Oryzias latipes: one gene and its partner. The protein of the gene in region 2 purifies or fractionates together with the protein of the main gene of each other region. This does not show direct contact. Links are inferred from orthologs where the notes say so. Each region holds a gene or a part of one and is shown on either strand. Other genes may lie near its edges.

The links.
Region 1: the proteins of map3k2 (region 2) and traf7 purify together in Homo sapiens (affinity purification with mass spectrometry; 3 studies listed by BioGRID and IntAct, with this or other methods). This does not show direct contact. The link is inferred for Oryzias latipes from reciprocal best matches to the Homo sapiens genes MAP3K2 and TRAF7.

The regions. Positions count from the first base shown.
Region 1 is NC_019866.2:23,011,821-23,023,618, reverse strand, and holds the end of traf7 (E3 ubiquitin-protein ligase TRAF7), read right to left. Parts: intron 11,596-11,798; coding exon 11,562-11,595; intron 11,480-11,561; coding exon 11,257-11,479; intron 11,185-11,256; coding exon 11,050-11,184; intron 10,953-11,049; coding exon 10,857-10,952; intron 10,785-10,856; coding exon 10,663-10,784; intron 9,883-10,662; coding exon 9,809-9,882; intron 9,709-9,808; coding exon 9,660-9,708; intron 9,574-9,659; coding exon 9,446-9,573; intron 8,678-9,445; coding exon 8,595-8,677; intron 8,509-8,594; coding exon 8,469-8,508; intron 8,381-8,468; coding exon 8,264-8,380; intron 8,028-8,263; coding exon 7,905-8,027; intron 7,036-7,904; coding exon 6,916-7,035; intron 6,767-6,915; coding exon 6,635-6,766; intron 4,762-6,634; coding exon 4,642-4,761; intron 4,558-4,641; coding exon 4,543-4,557; 3' UTR 3,814-4,542; downstream 1-3,813. UniProt on the Homo sapiens protein: E3 ubiquitin and SUMO-protein ligase that plays a role in different biological processes such as innate immunity, inflammation or apoptosis. Potentiates MAP3K3-mediated activation of JUN/AP1 and DDIT3 transcriptional regulators.
Region 2 is NC_019860.2:9,897,826-9,909,433, reverse strand, and holds the start of map3k2 (mitogen-activated protein kinase kinase kinase 2), read right to left. Parts: upstream 5,516-11,608; 5' UTR 5,160-5,515; intron 2,673-5,159; 5' UTR 2,655-2,672; coding exon 2,600-2,654; intron 2,417-2,599; coding exon 2,298-2,416; intron 2,213-2,297; coding exon 2,172-2,212; intron 2,097-2,171; coding exon 1,997-2,096; intron 1,911-1,996; coding exon 1,797-1,910; intron 989-1,796; coding exon 880-988; intron 519-879; coding exon 388-518; intron 32-387; coding exon 1-31. Other genes in the region: sumo1 (small ubiquitin-related modifier 1), read left to right, coding at 7,342-7,353, 7,728-7,802, 8,055-8,132, 8,945-9,016, 9,093-9,161. UniProt on the Homo sapiens protein: Component of a protein kinase signal transduction cascade. Regulates the JNK and ERK5 pathways by phosphorylating and activating MAP2K5 and MAP2K7. Plays a role in caveolae kiss-and-run dynamics.

The DNA of each region.
Region 1 (11,798 bases), on a different chromosome or scaffold from region 2:
GAAAGGGGAAAGTTGGGATGGAGTTATCAGTCATGGAGATCTGTGAAGCCTGGTGTTGTTTGCTTTGTTTCGTGTACTAAATGATAAGTTGGTGTAATGTTCCTGTATTTAATTAGCTTCTCAACCCGTTCAGAAAATAAAGGGTTTCACAGTCTCATTTGCAGCCAAACGCCACATATTTATCAATAAATAATAATTCAGAGCTTTGGTATTTAAATTCTGATCACATAGAGATTCTATATATATGGATATTTGCCAAAAGTAAAAATAGGAAGTGTATTTATGATGTGTTTGTTATCCTGAAGAGTATTTTTCAAGGTAAACAGATCTAATCTAGGTGTTGAATCAGTTGCTTCTCCTGCTTAAGTGGTCTAAGCTAAAGAGTCATTGTAGGATACCATCATGGAATATTTCATTGTGTAATTTCTTTTTTTTTTTTCATATTTATTTCTCTGCCTACATGTGTCCAGGTGTGGCAATGTGTAAAACTTGTTCACTCTAATGCATTTTTTTGTATTGTTTGAATTCTTTTCTTTAAAATGTGCCTTGCTTTGTGATTTTGGCCTGACTTCAATACAGTAGATGGGTATGAACAAAAATGGCGGATCCTTCATTTTCTCTTTTGTGGTCCAACTCGATGTAGTTTTTGGCTTTCAGTCATGTTGGCGCCCCACTGGCAGACTTGGAGGAATATATATGGAAATACAGAATTTTTAGAAACTGCAGAGCCCTGGACATGACATTGTTTCCAAAGATTACTAATTTATGGCCACAAAATGCTAATTTGTGTAAAGTAGTTAGTATCTCGTGCCCACAATATGTTACCTTGTGCTACTATTAATATTTTGAGGCCACAGATAAGCATTTTATTTGCATTTTGTGCATACAAAATACTAGTTACTATCTTGTGCACATAAAATAGTAACTTGTGTGCACAAGTTGCATTCTGTGAGCACAAATGACTATTTTGTAAGTAAAATTTAACATTTTGTGAGAATAAATTAGCATTTTGTGAAAACCAATTAGCATTTTGTATTCACAAATTACTACGTCGGAGTAAAAGTTAGCAGTTTGTGTGCACAAATTGCTATCTTGCACGTACAAATTAGCATTCTGTGCAAACAAATTAGCATTTTGTTGCACTAATTAGCTTTTTGTGAGCACAAATTACCATCTTGGAGTAAAAGTTAGCATTTCGTGCAAAGAAATTAGCATTTGGTGCGCACAAATTCATATCTAGTGTGTACCGACTAGCATTTTTTTCCACAAATTACCTTCTTGTCTTATCAGAGATTTTGACGTCATGGAGGTTAAAACATGGCTGCCAAAACAGGTTTAGCAAACATGATGAGAAAAGGCAAAAGCTTTGGACTGACGTAGGGCCTCAGTACTGTATACAGTCCATCTTTCTACTATTTAACACACTACAGTCAAATCATTTCAACTACGTGAAATGAACAGAGTAAAATCCGAATTAGGCAGAAGCGAGCCCAGAGTCAGCAGGAAGCTGATGTCTGTAATTGGTTAAAGGCTTTTCAAGGTATAGAGGCTTTACGAGGGGAAGTATGTGGAAAATGGTCAAATGTAGACTATAGTTCTCCATTTCTTCATTCTGGGGTTATTTTATCAGCTTTTAGTGAATAATATGACTCATAATTTATACAACAACAAATATTGACATGAGTGGGATAGGAAAGAAAATTTTCATGCCCAGCAACCCCGCCCACAACTCAGAGATACATTTCTAATGAACTCCTGTCGCTCTGCAGACACTAGGTTCTAGAAAACGACACTTAAAAAAAAAGAATTTCCCCAAAACGGCATAATCATAAACAAAAGACCACTGGTGATGAAGACCAAATGGTCATCATCTTTACTGAGATGACGCAACAACTGCAAACAGCTTTTCTTACTTCTACCATTGAGCCTTGCTCTTATGATGCTCATTTTAAACCCTATAGTTTATCTGAAAATGGTGGAGATGATTTGGGACGTTTTGTCTTGAGCCGTTTTCAGTTGAAGTTCTTTAGGCCAGTGAGTAAAATGAATCTCGACCTCGTGGAGTTGGTTTAATGGAAATCAGGATTGATTGGAGGCAAACGAGAAGTTCCACTCCAACAACGAGACTTATTGCATTCACATTTGTATTCCCTTCAAAGGAGTAGAAAAGAATACTTATTCATATTGATTCTATTTTTTCCTTTGGGAATTTGCATGTTATGTATAGCAAACATGCTTGTAATTGTGTTTTTTCACAAAGAGATGAGCTTTAACCCACACCTAAATTCAGATGCTCTGGTAATTAAAATGATCAGTGGATTATGTAGATTAGGCCCAGATTAAAACATGAGAACAATCTGCTAAACTAAAGTCTTTTGTCCGTTCTTAAGATATTATATGGCATTTAAAGACCCGCTCTGATGAGAACTGGGTTTCAAGTGTTTTAAACATCTTTTTCTGATGATGGTGGTAAGTAAATTAGAGATGAAAAAATACCGTTTAAAAAGATTGTATTTGTGATGTAGAAACTAGGCCACAAGCTCTATTCTGATCACGAACTCTCTAAGAACGGATCCATAAAAGTCTTTGTTTTCCTTGTCAGAGCTGGAATCAGGATCTAAACTGCATGTGCAGCTGGATAAATGTGGTATCAGACGTGTTACGGGTTAAACCCCAAGTTGGGGGACCTAATGAGGGGCAGGCCCAATAGCTGGGGTTGTAATGGGTCCAGGGCAGTTGTTTGGGGTTTTAGCGGGTCCAGGGTGGTTGTGTAGGGTTTTAGCGGGTCCCGTCTAGTGGGTCTTGATGACCCAACTCCCAATGTTAAAGTGCCTAGGATAGCACAAGGGTTGAGAGCAACAACATGACAATAACTACGATATTGATCGCCATTTTTGTTGCCTTGGTAATGTTAGTTTGAGGGTGTTAGGGTCTGTGAGCTAGCGGCAGAGTTTAATAGATGGATGTTGGGAAGTATGGGCGGGCTTGCTCCACGCCAACAGTCCTTTTACAACTCACAGGTGAATTTATAAAGAACTACTGGGTGGTGATGGGGTGCTCTCCTAGGGCGGGGCCCAGCGTTGGGGCCCTCCCAACGCGGCAGGGGCCTGGACTCTCCGTCCCCCTGTGACTCCCTGCTCTCTGGGTTTGGGGGCCCGTGCGGTGGTCCTGCTGGCAGATGCGATTGTGGGTGTTGGGGGGGTCCTGGCTGCCGCGGCGGGGGTCTTGGTGTGGGGATGACCGACCGGGCACTCTCCTTAGAAGAACAGAAACTCTCGAGCACAGGAGCCGTCTCCCCATTGCACAGGTGGTTTGCGTGACTGAATGAAACATTTCACGTGTTGGTCTGTGGGCATACGTATGCGTGTGAACATTGGCTGTATTGTGTACATGTTTGTATGTGAACATTTTTGGAGCCAACAGGTATGTTTGTTACATTTGAGTGTGTGTGTGGACAGGCTCCGCCCCTTTTAGATTTGATTATAAACATACAGCAACTTGTTACTTTATGCTGCTTCACAGTTCTACCGCGCACCCCCCCCCCCCATCTCTCTCTCTCTTCTTCCCACCTTTACTTTTCCCTCTAATCCAACAAAAACATTGCTGCAAATATGAGCAAGATGAACAAAGTTTAGTCTAAACTACAAAAGGGGTTTATTCAAATATACACCTAGTGTGTCCAAATATTCAGAACCCCTGCTGTTAAAGTAAAATGTGTCCAACACGTGAGGCTATCAGCTCCATCTGTTTGCTCAGCTGCTGGAAAGGACAAGTTTTCAGCTGACACACACTCACACACTCACACACACAACAAAGTGTACAACATTTTTATTGATCAAGGACCAACTGCATCTTAAATTACTACAAGTATATAAGATGTTACTGAAAGTTTAGGTGGGGTGTAACTCTTCATCGTTTTCTTTCCCTGTTCTTCCTGTGAACTGGGTTTTAAAAAAAGAAACAGTAAAAAACCTGGTTCAGCCAAAACGATTAACACCATGAAGATCTTCAGTCTTCTTACGCTTCCTCAGAAATTTGTTCATATTTTCAACCCAATATGGGTCCAGAAACCGGCGGAGGACTTTGCGGGGACCGTTTTCGCTTTAGCTGTTTGTCGGGTTCAGAACCCTGGAGTGAACCAATTGGTCGTTTCCCCTCAGAGACGGGTCAGGAGCGCCGCCCAGCTTCCTGTCCGGGGAGTGAGGAGGGGGGGCGGAGCGTGGAAACTTTTATACACAAGGTTACAACCGTTTGACGGCTCTGGGTGGAGCTCAGTGGAACCGCCACTGCAGAGGTTTAGCGGCTTCTCCGAGGAGTTTTTAGAAAAGACGTAACGCCGAGGACACGACAAAGCGCGAGTGTTAAAAGCTCAGAGGAGAATCACAACACTGATATCTGCAAAACTATAAAAGAACAAACATGTGGTGTCAAAGCGACAACCTTTCCATCACTGAGCTCAGTGCTCCAGGCGTCGTCTGCAGAGTCACGGCCACGCCGACGGCTTCAGAGCGCCCGAGTCGGCCTGACGCCCGCTGAGCCTCTTCAGCAGGTCCACACCTGGAACGGAGAGGAGACACGGTCACATGACTGACGCAGAAGCAGCTCCATCGGCTGACGGTGGTGGGCGGCGGCCCCCCCAACCTTGACGGTGCTGTCAACGGCTCCAGAGAAGAGGCGTCCTCTGGACACGGCCAGCGCCGTCACACTGCCCTGGTGTCTCAGCAGGGTCTGGGTGCAGATCATGTTGTCCATGCTCCACACCTGAAGAACAGAACAAAACAAGAGGCTTTTTCAGGAAGCAAACAGATTCCACTTTTGATCTCCTCCTCAGTAGTGGACAGATGGTATGGCCTGCCCTCGCCACCCCCTTTTGACCCGCCCTCTCTCCCCTCTGTGCCCCGGCCACCCTGGTCCAAGCTGCACAAGAGAAATTCATAAAAAACAAAAAAAATAACTTTTTTTCACCCTGGTGACCTGACCAGGATGTCCCCTCCCCCACGGGTGGCAGGGATGGGCTCCGGCAGCCCGGTGACCCCAAAAGGGACAAAACGGGTTTAGGAGATGAAACACTTTTTTCAAAATAGCAGCTCTCCCGTTGGTTTTATCTCCATAGCAACCATTTTACACTTTGGTCACCCTAAGGCAGGGGTGGGCAATTATTTTGACTGGCGGGTTACAAAGTTCTAAAATTGGACAGAAGGGCCGAACCAGGAGCAGAAGAGTGGAGTGAGAAAGAAATAACATGGAATCTGGATGAAAACATTTGGATGGAAAATTATATTTTAAAACCAAACATTTTAGAGTTTTTAGGTTAAAACTTTTGTTCTCATTTTAAAGGCAATGGCACCAACGGCTTGATGAACCTCATGTAAAACGTAGAGAAATGCTGCGTTCAGGTGGTGTTTTAATGATCAGAAGAATGAAAAAGAACAAATCTTCCAACACAGCATGGATGCTAGAGCGGAGGCCCCAAACTTTTTCTTGTGAGGCCACAATAACTGTTTTTCTTTTAACTTCTTTTGTCTGTCTTTCATTGTAAAGCCCTATAATAAAGTTTGATTCATTCATGATCCTTTAAATAGAATAAATAACACTATTTATGAAATAAAAAATGACCAAATAACTCTCTCTGTGATTTTCAAAGACAAAAAAGAAAACATCTACTGATACAGTAAAAATAATAATAGTAAATAGTGGATCCTCTGTCGTCATTTTCTCGCTGAGACGTTGAAGCTGCAGCTCCTCACATGTCTCACAGTTTGCAATAAAACTGAGCAGCTGTGTCCTGCACGTCTGTTTCTCATCCAGTAACCACGAAAAAGCTCATTTCTGTGTCTTCTGCTGCAGCTACGCATATATCTGCGTTGCCTTTTCATCAGTATAGAGTTCCCTCGTTTGTTGCAGGAGTTACGTTCCAAAAAGAACCAGTTATGGGTGAAATCCAGAGAGAATGATTACAGACGTTTATGGCAGTGAAACTCCTCACTACTCACTTTCTACACTTTTCTCAGACAGACATGAACATTTTCACCCTTTTCTCTTGTTTAAATTCTCAAACCTTCATAGAAATTAAGTCCAGGAACTTAGAATGAAAACAAAGATCTGATCCATCACAGATTTCTGTAGATCTGAAGAGCTCCACGTTTCTGTACAGGACAGACGGAGGAGATTGATTGACAGGGTCTCCAGCCAATCAGGACACAGAACAGGGTGCGCTGTTTAAAAAAAGCAGTATCATCGCTCTAAAAGAACGAGCTAAACTGGGAAAGATGAACTACGAGGTAGAAAGGAAAGACCGCTCCAGAAGAGAGCTTGACCGCATTCATCTTTTTGACAGTTTCTCCCGCTGTGATGTCATCAATTGGGGGGGGGGCAGGCATTATCCAGAACCTCTCCTGCGGTTCTGGATAATGTGGCGGACAGAAACACAAACATATGGAGCGTTGGTGAATATGAAAGTCCAGAAGCCCAAACTTCCTGGAGCTCTTTTGTGATCATTTTTAGGGGTGTGGAGGTTGTTTTGATTGACAGGTGGGCTGTCCAATGGGTGAACCAACGGGTCAAACTTTGCTTTGCCCCGCCCAAATGCTGTTTTCAGAATGCTGGCCCGGGCCTCTGCGTCAGCGACTCTCACCCTGAGGGAGCGGTCGTAGGAGGCGCTGAACACTTTGGTCTGGTCCGGCGTGGAGATGACGGCCAGCGCGTAGACGGTGCCCACGTGGCCCGTCAGGGTCCGCACCTGCTCTTTGGACTCAATGTCCCACACCTGCAGAGGAAATACATGAGCGTCACCTGCCTGGAGGGAGCGTCTTCACTTCGTACGCGGAGGCTGCTCAGGTTCAAACACAGTGCCTTGCTCAAGGGGAGCAGCAGAACTGAGCGTTGACCCAGCGAACAGACAGGGGGCGCTCTTACGTGGATCAGGTTCTCATAGGTGCCGCAGACGATGTGGTGGTTGGTGACGGCGATGGAGTAGACGCTGCCCCCGCTGGTCTGCAGGACGTGGACGCACTCCAAGGAGCGGATGTCCCAAATCTGACAGACGGGGGGAGACGTTTGTTAGCCGCCACCGCCGCTAATGTATATACCAGCGACCGCGTCAAAATAAAAGCAGCCGAGGAATCAACAATAAAAATAACGTAACTTAATCTATGACAAATTTGATTAAACAGACTGAAAATGAGACGAATGAAGGCAAACATGAATAATGTTAACAGAACAGGTTTCTATTTAGATCAGAGTAAAAAAAAAACGTGTCGACATTTGCTAGTTTTTTTTTTTTTTGGATTGCTTTAAATAGACTGATCTGGTGAGGAAATGGACCGATGTCAGCTATGTGGCAGCTTTCACCATAGCTTACACTTCATTTCCTAAATCCTTCTGAAGAATTGGACTTTTTCTTCTCAAAAGGATTATTTCTGTATTTGCACAGATCAACGATCCTCAGGGATTCAGGATCGTTTACAGAAAAATAACAGAACAGATCTTCTCTCTGTGCCAAACAGACAAACGACGGAGGATCTGGAACCTTCGCCTGTGTGGAAGAAGAGGATCATGGGAAAATGTTCTCAGCTAGTTCAGACAGCAGGAACAACAGGATCTATCCCAGAATTCTACTTCTTCTGTTCCATGTTTTGCTTTTCCTCTTCCTTTTTTTTTCCTGTGACGGATATCCCAGGGATGTTTGGTCCGTCTTCTGTGACTTGTACCTGCAGCAGGTACTGACCTTCATGCTTTCTGGGATGCAGAAACTAACCCCTCCTGTGTGTCTAACAGCATTTGCTCCAAAGCTCTTTCTAAATTGCAGGAAGGATTATAAACATTCAACAGTCATGTTGCATGCTGGGTATTAAAACACTTTTTTTTTAAAAGAAGAGGTGAAATAAATAACTTCCCCCTCATACCTTGATGGTTTGGTAGGAGCCGCTGTACAGGTGGTTCTGGGAGGCCACCAGCGCTCGGACCCAGTGATTGAGACCGGTCAGCTCCTTCTTGAGTTTCAGCTCCGTCCCCACGATGTCCCAAACCTTAAACACATGACAACAGTCCAGCTGTTTACCTTCCATTAGTCTGCGACCATCTGCGACAGAGCCGAGGAGGAACCGGGACAACGCCGGAGGCCGGCGAGGAGTTGGGAGAGAGCGCTGACTCAGAACTATGAAGCAGGGATGCAGACGGAACCTCTGATGCTGTTTATCTTCAGACTTTCTCCCATCATCCTCTCCTCCCCAAACCTTTGCGCTGATGACGACAGCAGACGCACCTTGATGGCTTTAAGGGAGCCGCTGAACAGCATGTTGTGGGAGGAGACCAGCGTGCACACGGGGTTGTCGTGGGCGCGGATGGTGTTGACTTTCTGCAGAGTCTGGATGTCCCACACCTGCAGGCGTAAAACACAGAAAGACGCCGCCCCCGTCAGCCCAGCCGCTCACGTCAAAGGGAAGAGGCGACGCGGCGGGACGACTTACAATGATGGTGCAGTCCGCAGAGCCGCTGTACAGCCTGTTGCTATGGAAACAGAGAGACAGTGGGGTCAACGTCTGGGGGGATGGTTGTTTTTTTATTCTTTAAAGTTGTGGTTTCTGTGGAGTTACCCCTGGATGCACAGAGCCAAAACGATGCCGTCGTGTCCCTCCAGGGTTTTCTGACACTTGTAGGTGGTGCACGTGTCCCACACCTGACAGCAAACAAACAATACATTGAATGGATTGTTTTGATTTGTTTGTATCTGGTTTGTTAAAACGATCAGCATGGACATTGAAGCATATTGGAGGATAGGCGTCTAACAAGCTTCATACGTTTCCGCCTGTTCTTTTTTTTTTATTGTTTGTTTGTTTATATTGTAATATGTAAATACTATAAATGAAAAACTGAAAAAAATGTAAAAAATAATATAGAAAAAAAAAATCATGTGCCTGAATGCATGTGTGTATAAGCGTTAGCATGTGTACGCATGCGCATGTGTGTTTGTGTATGTTCACGTGTTTGTGCGTTTTCCTGTGTGTGTTTCTGTGCATGCAAGTCTGCATACGTGTGTGCGCATGTGTATGTGTGTGCATGCGTTTGTGTGTGGGGGGCACGTGTGCAAGCGGGTGTGAGCATGTGCTTGAGTGTACATGTGTGCATATGTGAATGTGTAAGTGTGTGCATGTGGACGTGTGTGCATGTGGATGTGTTCATGTGTAAGTGTGTGCATGTATTTATGCACATGTGTGCATGAGTTTTTAAGCTTGTAAATGTGTGTGTGCATGAGTTTTTTGAGTTTTGTATGTGAGTGTGTGTGTGTGTGTGTGTGCGAGGGGTACATGTGCAAGTTTGTGTGTGTGTGTGAGTCTGCATGCGTGTGTGTGTCCATCTTTAGACAGTAAACTCTGGTTGTTTGTGAAAAAGCACCAAAAGTTTAAAATAACTGCATAAAACAATCTTTTGTTTGGGGGGGGGTTACCTTAATTGTCTTATCAGAGGAGCCTGAAAACAGCAGGTCTCCGGTGGAGTAGACGCACAGACACCAGACGGGCCCCTGGTGGCCCACAAAGGTCCCCTTACACTTGAAGATCTGCTGTGGATCATAAGCTGCACACAAACATTTCAACAAATGCTGCAAACTGAACTGAATCCAGGTGTGGAAGCACCAGACAGGAGACCAGACAGGAACTCACATCCCAGGATCCCCATGTTGAGTCTGGCGTTGATGTGGGACAGCTCGTCCTGCAGGAGTTACAACCACATGAGCCTTTAGTTTCAGCATCACGAAAGCGCCCCCCGCCTTTCCCGTTTCACGCGCTCCTCCTGGTCAGCGTTCACTTACGTTGAGCATGGAGGCGTCGCGGCGAAACTCCATCAGGTCTTCGCTCAGTTTGCTCTGGTTCTCATCCAACATGTCTGCAAAACACCAGCAGGAAATGAGGGGAGCTGAAGAAGACCTGCACGTTCACCTGAACGCCGAGTTCACTGGATCCGACCTCAGCTCGGCAGACTCACTCACAGCCTAATGCAGCTACACCAAGCAACAGCTTTTTGGGATTTTGGCTAAAAACGGCATAATCAGAGTGAAAAGTGAAAAAACGTTGAAAATAGAACCGAAGAGGATCGGCGTGGACTTTTAGGATGTGAGAGCTCTGTCTGAAGATGGTCGAGTTCTCACAGGATTCTCTTCCAGCTGAATTTTAAAGTTTGGCTGCTCATCCCAGGTTCCAGCCGCTAACATCAATGATGGTGAAGCCGTTCGTCTTTAAACCGATCACAGACAGAGATCTGCTGAGGGATCAGGCACGTGTTCCTCTGGGAGGACTCGGTCTAGGATCCCTGCATGTGAGCAGCAGTTCAAAGTCCCATCAGCTGTCACACACCTAGAACAGGTGACCCCTCCCCTGGGGGAGCGGGGAGCTGCAGACCTTTTGGTGGTTTAACCCCCAAATCCAGCCTCTTAATGCTGAGTGTCAACCAGGGAGGCATTGGGTCCCATTTTTAGAGTGTTTGGTATGACTCGACCTGGATTGGAACTCACGACTTTCCAGTCACAAGGCAGACGCTCTACCACAAGGCCACTGAGCTGAGTTTTCTTCGGAGGAAGCCGACAGGAGCGTCGGCAAACTCCAAACGCTCCCGTCGGATTCCGTCAACATCCATCAGGAGCGCCGGAGAGGAAAAAGCTGCCCTCACCAAACTTGAGTTCCAGGTTTTTCTCCAGCTGGTCCAGCTTCTCAGAGAGTTTTCCCAGCATGGAGCGCAGGAAGGCGATGTCCTGGTCCTTCTGGGCCAGGGTCAGCTGCATCTCGTGGAACCTGAACGGCGACACATCAGGTCCACAAAGACGGAACCGCAAACGCAGCGCCAACGGCGGCGTGTTTACGGACCTGTCGTCCGTCTGCTGCAGGAACTCCTTCAGGCCTTCGAACTTGCACACCTCCAGGTGGGTTTCGTACGTGTCCTGGTTCCCGATGAAGGTGCACCTGTATGTGTGTGGGGGGGGCAGAATGAGATCCCGGCATCTTCACCTGTGGAATGACGTGGATTCAGAGCCGGAACACAACCGGCTCAGACGCTCACCCGTATTTGGAGTGTGGACATTTGATGTGCTCGCATTCCTTGAGGTGCGCCTCCAGGTTCATGGTGAGCAGTGGGGGGCAGGAGGGGTTGTTGGGGCAGCGGACCGGCCGGTAGTCGCAGCTGGACTCGTGCTCTCTGAGCAGAAACAGACGCACAGGTCAGAGCGGCCCAAACGCGCGGTTCTGGGTTCGGTTCTGCGGGGCGTACTTGCGCGTAGACAGTTTAATGGTGAATGGGCAGCCCAGAGGGTCCACCTCAAACGCTCCGGGCTTTCCTGCCACGTTGGAGGTAGGGGCAGGAGCTCCGCCCCCTCCGGGGGTGGTAGCTCTGCAGCCGTATTTGCAGTGGACAAAAAGCTCCCCGATCTGCTCAGCGACGGCGATGTTGTTCACCACGACGGTGAGCTTGGCGGCATCCACCGGGCACTTATCTGTGAGGTGGGAGGGCGACAGGAAGTTGGAATGAACCAAATCACAACGCCAAGCGGTAAATCCACGCCGGTAGAAACTCACCTGAAGTCAAGGCGCAGCGTCTGCAGAAGGTGTGCTGCAGAGACAAACGGAAACGTTCAAATTCCTGACCGTGCTGCAACAATCGCAGGACGGTCCAAAGCAAACTAGCCGTGAGCCTTTTCCAGCAGACAAATGGATGGTTGCCAACGGCAACGCCAGTGACATAACATGCTATTTAACATACCGTAACTCATCATTTACAAACGTAGTATTGCATATCGGCGTTGTATTTTTTAT
Region 2 (11,608 bases):
CCGGACTGCTCATGGATAAGGGATCGAACATCTGAAGGCAAAATAATGAAGAGCTTAAAAAAGTTGGACATATTTGTTTGAAGTTTTCAGACTTCAAACGACCATCTGGTGAACTCTGAACTTGTAGACGTTCTATGAATATTTATTTTGGGGTAATGCGTGCACCTGGCAGCCGTTCTGATGCCTCACAGAAAAAACAAAAACAAAACATCACTTTGAGTTAACTCCAACAGCTAAAACCATAATTTTACTCCCAAAACCTCACAAATTAGGAGCATAGCATCCAAACTGGATTCCAAAATGTTTCCGCACTACGTTGTTGTGCATTTTTCTTTTTGTTGGAAATGTGAAATAATATTAGAACCAAGTTTAAGGCAGAGTCCATACCGGATCCATACTCTCAGGAATGAACTCCCCCTCGCTGTTGATGCTGGTGAAGGAGCCGTTTCGTGCCACCTGTGGGAGAGGATCGGGAATGTATCCTGGGGGAGGGGAGCTTCGGTCGGTCGAGAGGGACCCTGCGGTTGGAAGAGAAACTCAGGTGAGCGGCGATTGGTTGTGTCGCTTTGCACGTCCATTTTTCCATGGAGCGGTTCTCCTCGCTGTGACTTGTTGACGTTTCTCAGACTCAACTGGGGCTTCACCTCAGTCAGGAGTTCCCCAGGGATCTATCTTAAGACTCATTTAATTATTCTACTGTAATAGGTGCAAAAGATGGACCAACATCATATTGAACTCTATGGGTTAGTAATGGGATGGAACCGTGCTGCATCCGACAGTCACAGACTTTTCATCCATCCATCTCTAATCTACATTCACTTTTCTTGGAGGTCATAAGCTGGCCGCCTTTAGCTGATAAAGGAGACAAAAGGAAATCACCTGACTGACCAATCAGAGACAGCATGCTCTTTTTGTCCGCAACCCCAAAGCCCCTGTTATCCAGCTCCTCGTGGGATGGAAGGAGGTCCATGTTGGAGGCGGGGGAGTTCTGGAAAGAAAACAAAAACAGATAAGCCAGACAAACAAAGACCCCCTGCAAACTGGGTGGTCCGACTGGCTTAAAGCTAATGTTTGGAAGCATTTGGGCTTTCTCAATGTTGATGTTCTTATTGGCTTTAAACAACAATCATGCCAAAATTACCAAAATGGATTATTTAGAAACACAATAAACATTTGAAATCATATCACGAAGGGCTGGGTTGGTTGATCAATTAATCCATAAAAGTTGAAATCGCATGACAGCAGCAAAGCCAAAATTTGCTAGCTTGATGCTAACGTATAATGGAATTCCCCATAGGACGGCTAATGCTAACGCTCGGTCGACCTTAAACATATATTGCTGACTAAATGAACAGCTTTATATACTCACAGGTAGGAATTTTCCTGACTATTTTAAGGAAACATTTTCTTTTTAAATTAACCGTTTGTTGCTGAAATCTTCAAACTCAACCCAATCATCGCTCACTTCCATCGGGAGGGGGACAGAAACCGTCCAGGCGCTCTCAGCACGAATGCTGCTTCGACAAGTTCCGTACCTGCGAGTGCTTCCAACAGTCAAAAAACTATTTAGGTTATCATGAGGGGATTATGGCATCAGTCTGAGCTTTGATAGCGAAGGACATGAGGATGTGGTGGATATTAAGGCACACATTTACAGTTAATGAGTCATTATTGTTCTGGGAACTTTTTCATTAAGTGTGAGAATCTTATCATACATCAAAATGTCTCTTTCATTGTACGTCATCTAGGTTTTTTTTTCAAAATAGTTGCTCCCTTGCTAGAAGGAGCAAACAGACCTGCGAGGACATCTGGACTACTAGGAGGATCTTCAGGCTCTTCATGTGGACGCTGCGATCCAGCAGCTCCACGGCCTTGTCCAGGTCATCCTGGGTCACCAGCGGGATCAGTAACTGTGGGAGGGAAGAGCAAAGACGGCGTGGGTGTGGCGCTGCGATTGCTCCGGGCCACCTCTGCGCTTCGGCCTCCGGATCTGTACCTCGTTGTTAGAGTAATGGAGGCCCATCGCCTGACCGAAGGCCACTTTTGCCTTCGCCTTCAGGTCGTCCAGCTTGACGGGTCGAGGAAACTGCAGGATCCTGCGGAGGAGACGAGAGGTCAGGAGGTGGCTGTGCCGTTCGGACCATGTTTGGACCAAAAAGGAAGGGTCTCACCTCTTCTCCCCTCTGAATTCAAACTTCACCCTCACATCGTTCTGAGGAGAATGGAATGAAACTCAGCAACTCCTAACTTCAGTAAAAGTTCAGAAAAAAACCACCTCAGAGGGGTCCGGCGCTCACCTGGTTCTTGGGTGAAGAAGTTTTGGGTTTTCCCAACTCCGACAGGAATGTGGCGGGGCGGCTGGAGCGGTGCAGTTCGGCCAAGTCCTGCATGATCGAGTTCAGGGCCTCCTGCTCATCTGTGGGACGACAGAACCTCCAATTACCATCAAAGATGGTGGGGGGAACAGTGGAACAAACAGACAGCCGGAGGTGAATGCTCTCTGCTTCTAAAGGTCACAAGCCAAAACCTGGAATTGAAAAAACAAAACACAGTGGCTAAAGGATCTCGACAGCCCGCTGCCAACAAAGTGCATACATACCCATCATCATGGCACGGCGGCTGACCCAGGAGGCCAGGAAAGAGGACTCTCCCATCAAAGGGATTCCTTCCTCCTGCAACAGCGGAGCAGAAGTCCCGGCGTGAAGCTTCACAAGTTAAAAGACGGTTATCTTCCGACTGATGAGCAGATTTGGATCTAAAACATCTGTAAATGCTCGCAAATGCTGTTGTGGTATTTAAGTAGCTTTATTTAAAACAGAACGGTGAACGCCGCTATACAGATGAAACTGCTGTATTCATGTTTAGCTCAAATTAAACGTACCAAAACAAAACATTTTTGAATAAAATGGGATGAACAAATACGGACAAAAAACTTTCTTCTCCTTTTACCGTCCAAAATATAAAGAACTAATAGTTTTTCATTAAAAAAAATAAACAAAAGAACGACTGTTTCCAAAATTATTATTAATTAATTAATTCTTTTTGGATAAATTATTCGGTCATTCATCATTTTGACTGATTAATATTTTTTTTAATTGTGCTTCATTTTCAGATGAAAAAGAATTTGTTCATTTTGTAAATGTTTACAGTCCACAAATAATGCTAATGCTAGTTGTAATACTTTGCAATCTGTGATTAATCTGTAATTTTGTGTATTTGGTGCCTTCATGAAAGAAATGAAAAACAAAAACGTCAAAAATAAAAGATTTTAATAATGAAAAATTCCTCTTTGTTCAGCCTAAAATCTGTATATCGTTCTGATTAAAAAAATAAAATGAAAAAGAATCAAAACTTTGTTTTGAAATAGATCATCTGATAAACAAATAATCTGGATTAAATAAAGTGAAGTTTTGGGGGAAAAAATTGGACTGATTTAATACGCGGGCAGTAAAAGTCACATGTTCAAATACCATTTTTTTATCTACACATTTGATTATTTCAAAATGTTGCATTTTGCAATTTTTTTTTAAAGATAGAAGTATCTACATCCCCATAAACGTGTTTTGTAAAGCATTTAGTAAGGTTTACTAAGCTTGTGTCCGAATTCCCTCCCTAACTACTAACAAACTATATAGTGCGGCACTATGTAGCGCCCTGAATTTTAAAAGTAATTCGAACACCATGCTCAAAACTTTTTTATTTTTTAACGGCAGACATGACATAATCGATTTCACAAAGTCAAAATCTAATTGATATGAGCGCTTTACGACGATTATTTATGAGTCCACTGTCTTCCGAAGATAAAAGGTTGATGATTTATTTAAAATAAAAACATTTAATTACATTTTTTTGGGGCAAAAATTGTTCCGATGGAATGCATTGTGGTCTATATTCACCGATCTAATGAGCATCGATGCACACTGGTTTTTCACAGAGACTTCTGGGAAATCTCTGGGGGCACTCGATTTTGGAATTGTAGATCCGGACAGCACTACAAAAGGGCGAACGCACTATGTAGGGGTTAGGGTGGGAATTCAGACACAGCATAAGTCACTACAGGACCACTGAAGGACATTTTATAGATAGAATTCTCTGCATAGAATAAAGTTATTTATTGCAATCTTCTATTTCTCCTACTCTTTTTTTTATTTTTTCCCCTTAAACTCCATGTGATGAAGTCAACATCCTCCCCATGGCAATCCAACACAAAGGGCAAGTTCACATGGCTAAAGTTAACTTTACTGTCAGCGTTTCCACGGCAACAAGACTGAGCTTACCCAAATATCTGCCAGACTGGTTCTCTTTTGACCCCAGTTTGGTTGATATAAGATGATCACCTCATTCATAGCTTTTCGTCACATTTCACAATTCATTTAACTTAAGGAACTACCACATAACCCAGAAAAAAAACACCTGACCATCTTTTGTCATTTTGTTGGTCTGAGCAATAAAGTTATTTTAAACAGGAAAAAATAAGAATAAGCATCATGCTAGCTAACCGAACGCGTGTTTGTATGGCTTGACATAACAGATGTCATGTAAACACTGCGAATAATAACTGGTTTTATCATCAACCCTCTCTGCTGTTATAAGGGGAAACTCGTGCTATGGCTGTGCTAACACCATGGCAACAACATGCAGCATTCCTTAGCTAAACATCAAAGGAAAGAGTTTAATTTCGTGACATTAAGCATAGCGTTAAAGCTCAGCTAACATGGTGTAAACACTGCTAAGAAACTTGTGATCAACATCTATTTATTGGGGCAAAGCTAAAACCAGAAACACCGAAACTGCGGCTGTTTTTACTGGATAACAAGCTAGCTGTGAATTTCCAAGTTAGCTTGAATTGTCCCGGAAGCTAACAACTGTTGCTAGCTTTATTTTGACATTTCATTGCGCTGTGACAGCGCACCCTTTGCGATTTGCTTTCGTTTGGACATGCAAACACAACAACAGCATGCGTGAACCCGATGGAGGAAGCGCAGCGGCTGCGTGTAGAACCAGTAGCTGTCAGGCCAGGGAAGTTGTTGTCAAGCTAATGCTAACAGCTAGCCGCAGAGATCATCGAAACTCGTCGGGTCAACACTGGCGTTAACAAAACACAACAGAGCCAACCACCGAGTCATTTCAAGCGACATTCATCTGTCATATAGTCTCACCTGTGGGTTGTTTGCACCGCGGTCCAACTACTCATCCACACGGCCGGTGACAGGAGCCCCGGGCCCTGCGGAGAGTCGCTGGGAGGAAGCAGAAGTTTGGCAGTCCGCTCTTAACTTCACCCCGAGTCCCGCTGGGCCACGACGACGAGGCCCGACGGCCGTCGGTTTATCCCGCACTTTCCGCGTCTGTGACCAAGACGACACGGTCGTCCAGGAACGCCTTTCCGTGTCTGTGCGCGACTGAAGGGCCAATTTAATCGACACCTCTCATTTCGTTGCACTTTACACCTTGGTTAACAGTGGCTCGGCTCGCCGTTGACCCTGGAGTTAAATCAAGCTTCATGAGAAAACACAATTCCTTATAACCGGAAGTACTTCAGTGCACCTACAAAAGTAAAAGCTTAAAGTGGGTTTCCTAATAAACATTGGCTTATTTATTTTACTTTGACAAAACCTCAACGGAATTAAGACTGCATTTAAACAAACTTCAATAGATGTGGGATCCTCGACTTCTAAATTTGTTTTGTTTTTTTTTAAAGAATGTCTACTATAAACTCTGCCATTCCAGAGTGATGGGGGGGGGGGGGGGCTTAAAAATGCCTTGTAAAAATCTAAAACAACAAGAGTATTTTAATTGACATTATATTAATTATCAACATGTGAAAAGTCTCTAATAAACTATGATTCTTCAAAGTTAGAATATTGAAGATTACATCAAATCAAACTTTATTTATATAGCTCTTTTCCTACAAAAGCACAACCGAACGTGCTTTGCACCAATACAAAATAAATAAATAATATAAAAACAAACACGAAAACTATATATACATTTAAAAAACGCCTCTCTCACCCTCCGCGGGTGGTTTCTCCTCCAAGCTCGGGTCCTCTACCAGAGGCCTGGGAGCTTGAGGGTCCTGCAGTATCTTAGCTGTTCCTAGCACTGCGCTTTTCTGGACTGAGAGGTCTGAGGTCTTTCCAGGGATCTGTTGTAGCCACTCCTCCAGCTTGGGGGTTACTGCCCCGAGTGCTCCAATTACCACAGGCACCACTGTCACATTCACTTTCCATGCTTTCTCCAGTTCTTCTCTGAGTCCCTGGTATTTCTCCAGTTTCTCATGTTCCTTCTTCCTGATGTTCCCATCGCTTGGCACTGCCACATCCACCACAACGGCTTTCCTCTGTTCTTTATCCACCACTACAATGTCTGGTTGGTTCGCCATTACCATCCTATCAGTCTGGATCTGGAAGTCCCACAGGATTTTTGCCCTCTCATTCTCTACCACCTTCGGAGGTGTTTCCCATTTTGACCTTGGGGTTTCCAGTCCATATTCTGCACACATGTTCCTGTATATTATTCCAGCTGCTTGATTGTGGTGCTCCATGTATGCTTTCCCTGCCAGCATCTTACACCCTGCAGTTATGTGCTGGATTGTTTCAGGCGCTTATTTGCACAGCCTACACCTTGGGTCTTGTCTGGTGTGGTAGATCTGAGCCTCTATTGCTCTGGTGCTCAGGGCTTGTTCCTGAGCTGCCAGGAGGAGCGCATCAGTGCTGTCCTGTAGGCCAGCCCTCTCTAGCCATTGGTAGGACTTCTTGATATCAGCCACTTCAGTTATGGTCCGGTGGTACGTCCCATGCAGGGGTTTGTCTTCCCATGAGGATCTGTCCTCCAGCACTGTATCCTCTGCTCTCCATTGCCTGAGACATTCACTGAGCACACTGTCGGCTGTCGACTGTTTCATCCTCTCTCTCTCTCTCTCTCTCTCTCTCTCTCTCTCTCTCTCTCTCTCTCTCTCTCTCTCTCTCTCTCTCTCTCTATATATATATAGTTATTTATTAAATTATCATAAAATGCTATTTTTTAAGCCCATGTTAAAAATATATAAATTTAATCTAAACATATATATTGCATTTGAATATTGAACAGGAGTAAAGACTTCATAATACTGGAAAAGGCAAGGTTTTTGTATGAGTGTGTGTGTGTGTGTGCGCGCGCGCGCTTTTCTTATGGAGACAATCCGCTACAAAACAAATTCCTTCACGCGACTTTTATTTTGAACAGCCCTGCGTCACTTCCGTTTGATGTCGCATTCCTCACAACATAAAGCAAGAGCCACCGCTAAAAGCTAACGCTACACCTTGAAGGGATTCCCTCCCCCTCCCGCACACAGTCAGGATAAACATGTCAGACACGGTAAGAAAAAGAACGTTGAAGAGTTCGAATGATTTTCTGTCAACACTTTACTAAGAAATCGATAATGTGTTTGTTATGGACGCTGCCTCGTACGTGATTATCTAACAACATGCTAACCGTTAGCTGTTCTAGCTGCAGGCCTCTGACTGAACTTAGCGATTTTTTTTTACCCTCCACGTGAGCTTTTGTGTAGTTTTTTGAGATTTTTTTTTGGGGGGGGGGTCAGAACTGGTGCTGGCGGGACCGAACCCACACTCGTGTCTATGGTGGATGTTCTCTGTGTTCGTGGAACCCGCGGAGTAAACAGACGGGCCTTCCTCGAAAGCGTGCTAGCGGTCGCATCATGTAGCAATGTTTTGTGATGTTTCTGTCAGGAGACGAAACCTTCCAATCAGGACGGAGGCGACAAGAAAGATGGAGAGTACATCAAACTAAAAGTGATCGGTCAGGTAGGTTGTTTTTGTGTCTCTGCTTTTGTTGTCACTACTGTCTGCATTTAGAAATAAACCGTATTCTACTCCATTTCAAATAAAGTTATGGCACGTGGTGGTGTCTCTATTATTGTTTATAGAAGGCTATTATTTTTGGTCAATGATTCTGCCAATTCTTTATCATTTACAGATGTATTCGTTTTAATGCTGGAAGTTGTTATTGTTTTTGAGCTGCATCACCTTTTTGTGTGTGTCCGTTTCTGCCCACAGGACAGCAGTGAAATCCACTTCAAGGTGAAAATGACCACACATCTAAAGAAGCTGAAAGAGTCTTACAGCCAGAGACAGGTATGAAGAGGAAGACGCATCGCCACTTTTCCAATGACAGCCTTCGCAGATCCATCCAAATGCAGTTCCTTATGGTAGAACACGCCATTATTTAAAAAAAAGATAACTCTGATCATCTTTTGATCTATTGCAAAAAATAAAAAGTTCCTAGTGATTTTTATTTATTTTTTTGACACGCTCTCCCGCTAGCTTACTAAGACTCCCAAGCTAATATTAGCAGTGCAACAAAAATGGCGAGCAATATCGGAGCTATCCAGCTGCACAGTTTGGATCCGGATGCTCGGACGAGGAAAATAAAAAAAAGTTACACGAGTCTATTTGTCTGCAAGGGAGCCTTGTGGCTTGCCGTAGTAGCTTTGGAATCATACCTGCAACCTTTTTCCAACTAAGTTTAATTTTGTCTGCTCCTGATTCACAACGATTTTAAATATAAAAAAAAAATAACCCAATTTTAAATGTAATTTTAAGCTTAATTTTCTTTAACCCTTGTGCTATCCTAGGCCCTTTAACATTAGGAGTTGGGTCATCTAGACCCACTAGACAGTGCGCTTAACCTTTCTTCTTCAATGATTTGTGATCTTCACTGGTGTCCATGGATTACATGAAATCTTTCCACTTTTGTCATGGTAGGGAGAACACGTCAATGTAAGGGTGGGGTCATCTAAGATAGCATAAGGGTTACACCTAAAAGCTCGTCTATGTAATCGTTACTCGTGCTCCTAGCGCCTCGCGGCGGCGTTCAAGGAGAGCTGATTGAAGGAAAAATAAAAATCTCCTAATGGTCTAACAGCAGAGGATGACGTTTCTTTCAGGGAGTCCTGGCGAGCACGCTACGGTTTCTTTTTGAGGGACAGAGAATCGCAGATAACCAAACCCCAAAAGAGGTAAGCGACACTCGCAAGAGCGAAAACCAAGCACTAGTGGTCACTAAGGTTTGTGTTTTCTTCTGTTTTTTTATAGCTGGGCATGGAGGATGAGGACGTCATCGAAGTTTATCAAGAACAGACCGGCGGACTTTGGAATCATTAAAGCCACAATTTCTGATGTTTTTTTTTCTTCTTTTTTTTCCCCTTTTATTCATGTTTTTTATCATTTGGTTTTGTATGTATGTATGTATTTCTGTTAAGTTTCAAACCATCTGAATCAAAAAAGCAAAAGGACTCAATCAGGGCTTCCATGTGTGCGGTCGGGGAGGCGGACAGACCGAGGACTCGAACCTGTGGCTCTGCCGTCGGAGGACACTCTAAGATTTTTACCGGCAACCATTTCGCTTTCGTGTTTTAAATTTTTATTTTATCAACCTTGCTGGAATGATGTGCTTTTGCAGGAAAATGGTTTTTAGGAGCTTCTTCCTCCCCAAAATGTTTTTTAAAATTGTCTCATAGAGGAAATATGTCAGATGGCATTCTGGGTAAGTGCGGTTACAGAAACCGTAAAAAGAAACCGATCAGAAGCATACCAGAGCGGCATGCTTCTGATCTTTCCATCTATTCAAAACAAAAAAAGTTGTTTTCCTGGAACGGACCAAAGCGTCTGTCCAAATGAAGGGGGGCGGGGCTAAACGAGGGAGCAGGTCCATTTCCTGTTGATCTATTCCACTCTCAGATGAGGTTGGGTCCTTCTTTTCTCCGGGTCGCCAAGTCGAGTGTTGGATCAATAAAGCAGAACCCGTTGCCCCCCCTCCCCTTCATCTCCCCTAAACTTCAGCTGCAGAACCGACCGAGGTGGAACCGTTCTTTGCACAGAACTTTGAAGAACTTTTCGTTAAGTTTTTCTGTTGATTGGTTAGAGGATTCGACAGTCTGCAGATAATGTGCCATCATTTATGCAGAACTCAATTTCTACAAAATAACCTTCCCACATGACACTTTAAAAAAAAAAAAATCAAGAAAAAAAAGAACTGTGCTTGTATATGTTGTGTTTATTCATGTAAGATATATTCTGTAAAATATCTCAAGCATTGTCTGTAATTTATGTTCAGGAGTTTCATTCTGGATTCAAAAGAACCTTTTTTGTTGTTTTGTTTTTCCTGCAGAAAAAAAACTAAACACTTTTTTTGTCCTCAATCAACCACAGGAAGTTCACCAGAATCGCTTTTCTGTTGTTTTTTTCGCATCCTAGAATGAAACTCTGCCATATGTCGTTCCTCAAGTACATCAGCTGCCCAAGCTGGTTTTGATCAAACCCCTTAGGGGTTGAGGGTTCACCTATGGCAGCCGCCGACTCGCCTGCGATCGTAGACTTCCATCTCTCAGAATCTAAACCTCTAAAGGATAATCTAATCTGAGATAAATAATCATGGCTGAATTCAAATGAGAGAGGTGTCCCTCCCCTACAATCGGTGCAGGCTGTGATGCGAGCCGGCTCGTCGCCAGTAGTGTTGATACAGATGGTTTGAAATTCTGGAGATGAGTGTTCTGCTTTTTTGAATAAAATATTTAAGAAAAGAAACAGTCTGCCTCCGAAGTTTTCCTTACGAATATAATCCTAATTTAAGCCACTGCACATTAACTACTTGCTCTAGAAATGATGGTCAAGATAACTTGTCACCATGGCAACCACACAAAAATTTGGGGTCTCGGATCATACGTTTGTGGTTGCGACGTTGAAGTGGTTTCAACCGTTTACCAACTGGTTGCTAGGGAACATAGACATAAAAATGTCATCACTATTTCAGTAGCTGCTGTGGATCATCCACGTCACCAATGATCAATGCAGTGAGCCCAAAAACGTGGAAATGAAAGGAAATGTTTGCAGCTTCCAAATCATTTTAATTTACTAAAATGGTTCTAATCTTTTGAGTCAAGAATTATGGGGACAATAAAGGTTTTTCTAAATAGCTGTACTACCTTCCCTTTGAAGGTCCAAAGGGCTTTACAGTCACAATCCCATGCACACATACACACATTCACACACTGGCACTGGTACCAACCTGTAACCACCAGGATCAATGTGCAATTCAGTGTCTTGCCCAAGGACACTTTGGCACATGGGGGGCAGGCTAAGGAATTGCACCTGCAATCTTTCAATTAAAGGTTCGCCACTCGTATTTTTGCGCCAGCGCCATCCCCGTGATCCAAGATTCTCCCATTCTTCCTATAACTTTCTGAGAAGATTCACTTAAGTTAAGTTTTTTTTGGGGGGGGGTAATGGTTTGCAGCAGCCTGAATCCTTCAAGTCAATACTATAAACTATATATATATATATATATATATATATATATATATATATATATATATATATATATATATATATATATATATATATATATATATATATATATATATATATATATATATATATATATGTATGTATATATCAATCATTCTTGACTTCTTGTCTTATTTCATGGTTGTGCTGTTGTGCCCTCCCCAGGGACGTAACAGTCTAGATTAGAAGAACCCCATTGGGGTCTGACATCACTAAAACACTAACCCATCTACATTAAGTTAACCCTTTAGCAACAGTGAGGTTGA